Daphnia pulex: one gene and its partners. The protein of the gene in region 2 interacts with the protein of the main gene of each other region in a biochemical or structural test. Links are inferred from orthologs where the notes say so. Each region holds a gene or a part of one and is shown on either strand. Other genes may lie near its edges. The genes, in order: ubiquitin-conjugating enzyme E2 W-like, ubiquitin-like modifier-activating enzyme 1 and ubiquitin-conjugating enzyme E2 H-like.

Region 1 (3,626 bases), on a different chromosome or scaffold from region 2:
CACAGAGCTGTTATGTATACCAATCCCCCCCCTGCCCTCCTTATTCTTCTCTCTCTCTCTTTGTAATTCTATTTCAATTTCAAAATTGTTTCTTCGTTTCTCCTTAATGAATTTTAAAAAATGCAGTTCGGATTTTTGTAATTATTATTTTTTAAAAAAGGATAAAATAGCTCGGCGGATTTGTTTCTTCTCAGTGTGTACACGTCCGACGGAATACCGTGCAGCGCTCAATCATTTTAGATTTCCTCCTTTCTGATTTTATTAATTGATTTAAAAAAAAAGAAAAAACGAAAAAAAAAAGTTAAATTGTTTTTTTTTTTTTAAACCTTTCCCTTTTTATTACCCAGGAGAATTTGTTTGTCAAAAAACCTTTCTTCCTCTCCTTTTCTTCAGCTCATATCCGCTATATATACACTCCTCATATGACTGGCTATTTTAACATTAACATGAGTCATGGTGTGTGTGTGTATAATACGATCATTAATTGACGAATGACATTTTTTTTCAAGTCGCCCACCTTAATTAATCTCTACGTTTACCCAAAAGTATGTTTTGTCACGCCCTTCATTGCTGTTGTTATAGCGGAGTCTTAAAAAAAAGCTGTCGGAAACGAACTTTAATCTCTTCTTCTATTTCTTTCGAAACAAAAACATCACACAAGACACACACACACACACATCAAAAAATGTTCTCGAAAAGGATAATAAAACAGAAAAAGTCGATTACAAAATTTGCGCCCTACTACCCTCTGATTTTGAAACCATTTCAGAAATATACAATTCATTATTTACTTGGCTAATTCAAATCGTTTAGTTTTTTTGTCTTCCAAACGTGAAATGAAAAAGAATTTGAGTATAATAGTTGAAACAAATTTTATACGAGCGAAATATTTTTCGTTTAACATTTAAAGAATGGGTGGGGGTAAGATAAAACACAGTAGAAGGGGGGAAAAAGGCTTCGTAGATTTGATGTCGATTAAAAGTCGAAAAATCAAACGCCAAAAGTGTGAAACATTACACATCTGTAGTTTTTCGTGAATATTGCTACAAGTCAAAAATTGGAGAGTATCAACCGCATATTAATCAAGACAGAGAGGAACTGTTTCGTTATGCGAGGAAGTAGTAGGTCAATATCGGGAATGGGAAATCAACGCGATCGATTCGGAAGGGTGGAAAATTTTGACAACTGAAAAAAGAAAATCCATTTTTGTTTTCTTTCGTATTTTTTTGGCGACTAGATTGTCTCTGACGCGAGCATCGCCAGCGTGAAACAGGTTCTTTTTCTTTTCGTAGCGGGAATCGAGGGGGAGAGATATCAACCCGTTTTACACTTCTTCGTCTGGCAAATTGGGAAATGATTTATGGTTAAAAAAGATTAATAATAACTCGGGTTTAGGCGGTAGCCATTCAAACTCACCGTGGTACCACCATTTGGTTTTCTTTGGGTTCTTGCTGCACGTTTTCACGTACATACTGTCATCCGGTGGTCTCTTCTAACGGGTCAATAGTCGTGAATGAGTGATGGGTGAGAAAGATACTTTTTCACACAATTGAAACTGACCTTTTCTTTACAAGAGCTGAGCATTGAGATAATGGAAACACAGACCGAAAAAATGGACAGAGCCGGTGACCAGTCATCGGTCAATATACTGAGGCAGATGTGGCCTGAATAACCGAAAAGGTTGGAGAAAAGAGCCGCGGTTAAATTATTGACCATCTTTTAAGGGTTTCACGCTAGACAGACCGTTGCTGTAGACGTGCGGATGGACAGGGATCTCCGATCCGACGAAAACAACCTAAAGAGAGTGGTCTCAAATGAGTAAAACATACGTGTTGGTTTTGGTCAATTCGTTGACTGAAAGGTGTTACCTCGGGCGAATCGAAAGGGTACTTTGGTCCGAAACGAAACTGTAACTGAAACTGCTCCCCTTCGTAAATCGTTCCTTGAGCTCCATTAATACTCAACACCAACCTGGAAGTGAGATTTGAAAAAAATAAAGTGAAAAAAGTGTGATGCACTTGTCCAACAAAATGTCAAGTCAATCTTACAAGTCCAGGCTCTGGCCCACAGATTCTCCATCGATCACAACACCAGGAGGAGGTTCCTTGATCAAGGAGACAAGCTCCTTTTGCAGCCTTTTCTGTAATATTAAAAAAAAATTGAGTTTTATTTAGATACTGATCTATTCGGCAACAATCAGGGTTAACCTCTTGTCTCTGAAGAACACACGATTGAGTCAGGGATTTGTCACTCATATTCGCAGTGGGCACCAATAATGTGAGACACAACCACCAGCAAGTAATGCGAAAACTATACTCACCGATCCAAGAACTAACTTGCCACTTATGTAGCTTTCTCCTTTTATAGAAAGGAAATGTCACCAGTTTGACAGTACGCTGCAGGGTTTCACTTCACGTGAACCGTGCAAAGCCACACCAGACATGTGCCAAACTGACATGTGCCAATAAGTCAGAACTCTCTTCTAGGGTTTCATTTTCTCAGGTGACTCAATTGGGAAGAATAAGGAAGCAGTTGGTTGAATCTGTGCCATAACCGATTAGCAAGCTTCAAGAACACACACCATCTCCAGAGCAGTATAGCTATTTTTACCGCTAAAAAGACTTCCGAAACCTCAAACCGAGTCAAGAATATTACTTAAAAGAAAAGTTTTACTAGCAAAATGTCAAGGACAAGTCCAAATAATGATGAGATTGAAGGACAAGCTGACATGGCAACCGAAGGTTCCTCGAGTTTCATTTTCTACCAACTACGACTAGATAATTGCAGGCGGCTCTTTAACGTTTCGCCATTCTGAATACGTTCACACTTATTAAACTGAAGCATTTTTTTATTTAATATTTACCTGAGCAGGAGAACATGTGAAACGCGAGTGATGTGATGACATGTTTTGTTTTCTTCCTCCAAAAACGTCTGGGTATTTCGCAGACGCAGTTGTGCGGAACGCTGTGAATTGCGGAAAGCAGATGCGGAAGTTGCGAGTTCAACGACCGTGGAAACTGCCTGTAATAAACATTTATCGTCGTTTATTTCTTTTTACGTCGCAAATAAGATTGCCCTTCATCTCTGATTCAGCGAGTTTCTTTCTTTTCCAGTTCACACGCAGACAAAAAACAAACGTCAATAAGTTGGGGGATTCCAACGTTCACTGAACTTTTGTGGTTCGTGAGCGGAAACAATAACTACGCAAACGGGCCAAGTTGCGTCTTCCTTAACCTCCTTTGTCGTGCAATGTCACTGCTAACTGTCTAATTTGTGTCCCGCGTCAGCTAATTGGGACTGGGTACTGTACATCTCCTATATAACCTTAAGGCAGAAAGTTATCGATTGATGACATATGGTATTATAACAAAACTGAGACGTTGATGTTTTTTTAAAAAGGTGGGAGCCCTTATCTTTTACAAGTGACAACAAAAGCGTAACGGTAGTATTGTTTTCAGTTGGAGATATTTATGGCAGTTGCGAATCCTTTAAGGACTAACAAGATATAGTGACAACAGCAGTGTCATATTGACGTAACACATTATGCAATAGGTGTGAGTGACGCAAGTCGAGCGAATCGACGTTGTTTGATCGATTCTTCATTGTCTCGGCGACAGTAGTGGGAA
Region 2 (2,264 bases):
CTAAATTTATGAGACCAACTGGTAGGTTTTCAGTATTGATTTTAGATGATGTAGGCACCGATGGTCGAGGAAAGTAACGAGAGACGTGAGGCCCAGACTCGCCAGACAAACTCGCCATGCCTTGCTTCGCCATATTGTCGATGATTCGTAACAAGAATGAATTTTTGCTGTCGTCCACTTCCATTGAACTAAATGTTTAGCGAATATTATACGATTTTAACACAACAAGTGAGCAGTCGACTCTTATCATCCCAGCCCCATTTTTTTTAAACCGGGAAATTTAAACAGTCGCGGGATACGCCATCTAGTTTCAAGAATCAAAGTCATAATTTAATGTTTTATTTTAACAAATTTTTGCCTACGAAACGACGATTGCAAACTTTGATTTTTGTTACGATAAAACGACAATACCGTAACATCATTAAGAAGATTTTTAATTGAATAAATATTGAATAAATCGAACTTTCAGCCATTGATTTATCTCAATTGATTTATCATCAATCGACCAAAGTCAAAGACTTGCTAAGTACGTTGATAATGCACTTGATAAAAAAAAAAACATTTTTATATAGGATTTAATTTTGACGGCATGTATTAACTTCATACCAATATTCAAGGCCAGTTGTACAATCGGTAAACGGGGAAGGGTTGAAAGGGAGGTTGTTGAAAAAGTTGCAGCCATGTAGAGTAAGGATTTTTGCCCTTTGTTAATCCAATCGGTAACATTTAATACTCACTGGCACGAAGAAAGAACTCTTGGAATTGATTATAAATGACCCAGGTCAACATAACTTCCATAGAGAATTCTATTTAGAATTAAAGAAAGCAACGAACTAAGCTAATAGTCCACAACATTGGATATAGCGCAAGTGAACTGATGATTATGGTAGTAAATAACCTTGAAATCAAATATGAACCAACCCCCAACCCGCCGCACAACGTAGAGTAATCAAATAGTTTTATTCGGTCGGGAGCACGTAACGGACGTAGGGCACTTCAACGTCTTCATCTTCAAGGTTATTACAGCATAACTCGAAGACGAGTGCTTTGACATGAGGCTCCAGTCTCTTCTTCGACACACGCTTGACAACCTCTGACATGGGGAGATCCATACGTTCGCTTCGTTTAGCTTGCGGCATAAAGAACGAATAAAGCATGCAAACACCCTGTGAAAGCATGGTGATTTTCAGCTTGTGTTCGCTTTCGAAGTAATCAATAAATTGCCGGAGCGTCTTTTCACCCTCCACTTCAAAACGATCCCACAAGGTCCATTCCTTGTCGTAATACTTTAATCAAATACAAACAAAAAATTTTTTAGTTAACGAATCGATTAAAATATTTTCCAACAATACCGTTTGCTTGGGAGCAGCGATTGGTTCAGAAAAGCCAAAGAACGGAAGAGCCAAGTTGATAAACCCGTTCTTAAATGCCTCAGGATTGGTATGACCCTGTACCAACTTCAAAAGTTCGATGCAGACCAAGCCTGAAACGACGGAGGTAGTAGTAGCAATGGCTGGAATAATCTTTCCAGCAATAAGTTTGCTCTTGTGGCGATCGGCCGGTGCGATATCATAATTCTCTGCCCGCAAGTTAGAAGAGGCTACGATGAAATCCATATGAAAGTTGGTGTCGTCATCCTTTTCAAATTCGAGGGGGAGAATGCGCAAGCCGGACAGAGAGTCCACAGATGGCAACTCCGTCTGCAGCTGGGTAAGTCTGTCTTCATCAAGCATGCCTGGGTTGTTGGCGGCAGCAGCAGCTTCCGCATCCGAAACAGCAATTCTGACTCCTGAACGTGGTACGAATTCCGGTACGACACACGATTCCACCATTTTAGTAATAGCCTATATTCGAGTCCGAGGGGATAAAAACAACTGTAAATCAAATTATGTTTTAACTAAAAAAAGTGAACTCACCTGTACATCGCGCGACTGTGGGATGTTGTAAATTTTAGCTTTTAGATTAGCAGCCGCAACCACATAATCCAAATGGACGGGGTTAGTGATATCGAATTCCAATGGATGAGGACAGCGTTTAGGTCCCGACCAAAACGGTTGACCTGTCAAAACAAAAAATTATATACAAAGTAAATTACACTTTATCAATAGATTTTACCAGAAGAAGTAAGTTGCTCGGGTGGAAAATTAAACAATAATTGCTTGATCTGATTGTGATATTGTTCCTGCCAATGGAGGCGAGCCCATTGAACACACTGCTCAAAATTCTTCGGACGTTCCTCAACTAAGCTGCGGTGGACGGCCTCG
Region 3 (3,369 bases), on a different chromosome or scaffold from region 2:
CGAGACACACATTTCTTCCCCCACCAAACAAACGTTCCGGTCGGGTTCATTTGTTGGAACACCTGTGGCCGATATCATTCAAAGTGAAAGTTTTCTTTTGATTGAGAGATTTGTTTGGTTTTAAGGTTGCACTATAAAATGTCACCTTTGAAACAAACAAACAAAAAATTGACAAAGAATTATTTATTTATTTATTTTTTTAGAGATTTTATTTTTCTTTGAAAAACCAAGTATTCCATCCCGACATACAAATTTCTTAAAATCGCTTGGTTTCATTTCCAACTAAAACAAAAAATCGATTTTTTGTGGTCCGCATATTCCGCGGTGCTGTTACATTCGTGAAAAAAAGAAACAATCGAATCTTCTCTAATAAACGCACGGTCAAAAATAGTTAAAGGTGAAACAAAAGTACGAATTAAGCTACAAGAAAAGAAAAATCTATTCGATTCTCCTGTCAAGTGACGAGAGAACCAAAACAAAAAGAACCTAAACATCTTGTCAAATTGCTACCGAGCCTGTGAAGCTCCGCTACGATACTTTTGACATCTCGACACACAAATACACACACACGCCGCGCATATACGTTGATATTATTGTCTTTTTTAAAAAGTGTTTTTTTTGGGGGGGGAAGATCAAAATGAGTTGATGAGCGATGCTAAATCCACACGAAAGATGTCAAACAAAAAGATGAATTATGTGATGGAAAAAAGAGGGGGGGCTCTCACTCTAAAACATTTATTCTCTGACTGCCCAAGGCATCTCCACTTTTTGAATGAAAATGAAATTTTTGCTGCTTCTTTTTAAAAATCGGGAAAAGAGCGGAGGGAGGAAAAAATTGGTTTTGGCAATTATTTTTGTTATTTTTTTCTAATACAGAAATTTTTTCAAAAGGATTTGAAACATCCCGAGAATAATTAGGATGCAAAGTTTTGTTTCCATAACAAACGAGCAAAGAGAGAGAGAGAGAGGTGCCAGAGGTGGTGGGTGATTTATCGCAATCATTAATATAATATAGCCCATTATCGGGATGAAATTTTGTACGATGAAACCTTTCTTCCGTTCAACGATGAATGAATGGAAAAAAAGAAAAAAAAATGTTAGCCACTTCAATGAGAGATAGAAGAAGAGGGGGAGAAAACGTAATAAACGACGAAATTTTTCATGTTAAAACAACGAAAAAGTCTCATAACTCCATGTCCTGAGCTTCGTCCTCACTGAAGTCCGACATGGAAGATTCCGAATCTGACGACAGGTGAGCGGCTTCTTGGGCTTCCTGCTCTCTTAAAGCCTCTTCAGTTGCAAATTTTTTCACATAGTCCTTGTCAATAGAAAAGGTCAGGTGTTACTATTGATCTATACGGATTGACACATGTCAGACATTGAAAATGTACCTGCACTTTTTTCTTGTACTCTTCGGGTTTGTGAAGATACATGGCTGCTGCATCGCCATTCAGTGGATCAATTGGATTTGGGTATGTGAGAAGCTGTGGCAGAAAAGACTCGAAGATATTGGACAAATCTGCAGATGAAAAGACAATGTCTCATTATTCATAAAGATTTAAGTACATTTAATGCAAAATACCATATAAAGCTGTCCAAGCTTGGTTGATGACATCAAGACAGACTGTTCCTGAGACCTCGTCAATGTTTGGATGGTAAACCTTGTTCATGAATCCAATAGATGGTGATTTGAACGGATAGTGCTCTGGCAAGTGAACTCGGACTTTCCAAATCCCTCCTTCATACGGTGCTACATTTTTCAATGAAATAATGACCTGAAAACAACCATGAATGATTTCTCATCACTTACTTCCTCTTGGACCATAAAACTTGACAGCAAATTCATTAAGTCCTCCAAGGATAGTGACCTCGTATTTGCTTTCAATCCTGAAAACAAAAACAGCGGGTATTACAATAAAGACTGTCAAAAACAATAATCCACAAACAAAAGAGTTTGAAGCAAAACATGTGTGAAACTCAAGGCCAGATATGATTCTGTTAAAATAATAACTTACAATTTAATGACATCTGTGTCCATTCGACGTTTTCCAGCACTGGGCGAGGACATTTTTGTTTGCACTCCAAAATCGACCACCTCGCGGAAAACTTCAGTCTGGGTTTCCCCCTCGAAATAAGAGTAGGTCCCCTTCTTTTCAGGTTAGACTCGATTGATTTGTGAAATTATTTTCGCCACAACTAATAAGAGAGGACACAATGGCCGACTGCTAGTCCCAAAAATTCTAATCCCTTCTCGCCTTGTGTGTGACGTCACCTTTATTTATAAGCAGCACGAGGAAACTGGTCTCTCAAGGTATTGCCTTTTGTACAGTAAAACAACAAATGCAGTCGATTAAAAACGGAAGAAAAACAAGCTTAGAATCTTGGAAATTATGTACTACCCAAAGATTTACGCAGCGAGCAAATGAAACAAACGATGAGCTTAGCACACTCTCTCCTGTCCTTCGCCACTGGCACTGTACGAATAACCATAACAAAGACAGAAAGGCTAAAAAATCCACCAAGTCAGCTGTGGCTCGCCACATTGGGTTTTGCAACCTACGCTCCTTTATTTATCGCAGTAAAATGGAGGTGGTTGCATAACTCTGCAAATCTAAATTACGTTTAATATTTTCCCTTGATTATTCCGATTACTTTCATGCATTTAGAATCATGTTTCGTGTTAGTTTTTTAACGCAGCCCTGGTCGTGTGGCCGTAGCGCGCGTATTTTGAAACGATGGATTGAAAATGTAGGTCAGGATTCTGCGCGTAAACAACTCCGTCGTATAATGGAGAAAGGACCAATCACTATAGACTAGTAAAACTGGTTAAAAATGAGAGAATTTGTATCGTTTGAATAGGTCGTCGAACGTGATCACGATCAGGCTGAGAGTCCAACGTTTACATTTCCGACCCAGTATCAATTGCTTATTTACATAAAAGATATGGTTACAATGAGCTATCTGAAGGCATGTTTACAGCAAAGATTCCTATGGCTTTACTCTCAAAGTTTTAGCTTGATTGTATTGCGTGATAGCGAATTTATTGATGGCTAATTAAAATTAACTCATCAGCTGATTTCGTCTGCCTTAACAAATTCAACGTGTCATTAGCAGACGAACGAACTGTAGGGGAAAAATAAAGAATTACACGTTCAAATCACAACAATAACTCGTAAGATTCGTGAAAAAATGCTTTTGCTTGCTACACGTTTTAAGCATTTATTGCCATTAACTTGAAAGAATTGTTGGCTGGGAATGGTGAACGTCATGAATGAGATCAGACTCATCTACAAAGCTGCCGTGGATGCCGTGAAGCCTGGTCAACTTGTAAATCAAGCAGTCAGATGTTTAGGAAATGTAGTTACAATT

Evidence for each region.
Region 1: of the proteins of ubiquitin-like modifier-activating enzyme 1 (region 2) and ubiquitin-conjugating enzyme E2 W-like, one has a biochemical effect on the other in vitro, tested with the Homo sapiens proteins (5 studies listed by BioGRID, with this or other methods). The link is inferred for Daphnia pulex from reciprocal best matches to the Homo sapiens genes UBA1 and UBE2W.
Region 3: of the proteins of ubiquitin-like modifier-activating enzyme 1 (region 2) and ubiquitin-conjugating enzyme E2 H-like, one has a biochemical effect on the other in vitro, tested with the Homo sapiens proteins (3 studies listed by BioGRID, with this or other methods). The link is inferred for Daphnia pulex from reciprocal best matches to the Homo sapiens genes UBA1 and UBE2H.

What each region holds. Positions count from the first base shown.
Region 1 is NC_060027.1:2,995,227-2,998,852, forward strand, and holds ubiquitin-conjugating enzyme E2 W-like, read right to left. Parts: upstream 2,793-3,626; 5' UTR 2,256-2,792; coding exon 2,208-2,255; intron 2,141-2,207; coding exon 2,049-2,140; intron 1,972-2,048; coding exon 1,869-1,971; intron 1,796-1,868; coding exon 1,744-1,795; intron 1,665-1,743; coding exon 1,561-1,664; intron 1,493-1,560; coding exon 1,417-1,492; intron 1,339-1,416; coding exon 1,325-1,338; 3' UTR 612-1,324; downstream 1-611. UniProt on the Homo sapiens protein: Accepts ubiquitin from the E1 complex and catalyzes its covalent attachment to other proteins.
Region 2 is NC_060018.1:5,971,852-5,974,115, forward strand, and holds the end of ubiquitin-like modifier-activating enzyme 1, read right to left. Parts: coding exon 2,116-2,264; intron 2,060-2,115; coding exon 1,917-2,059; intron 1,845-1,916; coding exon 1,353-1,844; intron 1,287-1,352; coding exon 960-1,286; 3' UTR 575-959; downstream 1-574. Other genes in the region: uncharacterized protein LOC124207205, read right to left, coding at 1-184. UniProt on the Homo sapiens protein: Catalyzes the first step in ubiquitin conjugation to mark cellular proteins for degradation through the ubiquitin-proteasome system.
Region 3 is NC_060019.1:1,501,354-1,504,722, forward strand, and holds ubiquitin-conjugating enzyme E2 H-like, read right to left. Parts: upstream 2,528-3,369; 5' UTR 2,400-2,527; intron 2,319-2,399; 5' UTR 2,069-2,318; coding exon 2,016-2,068; intron 1,888-2,015; coding exon 1,811-1,887; intron 1,751-1,810; coding exon 1,583-1,750; intron 1,520-1,582; coding exon 1,392-1,519; intron 1,319-1,391; coding exon 1,184-1,318; 3' UTR 624-1,183; downstream 1-623. Other genes in the region: glycerate kinase-like, read left to right, coding at 3,256-3,369. UniProt on the Homo sapiens protein: Accepts ubiquitin from the E1 complex and catalyzes its covalent attachment to other proteins. E2 ubiquitin conjugating enzyme that transfers ubiquitin to MAEA, a core component of the CTLH E3 ubiquitin-protein ligase complex.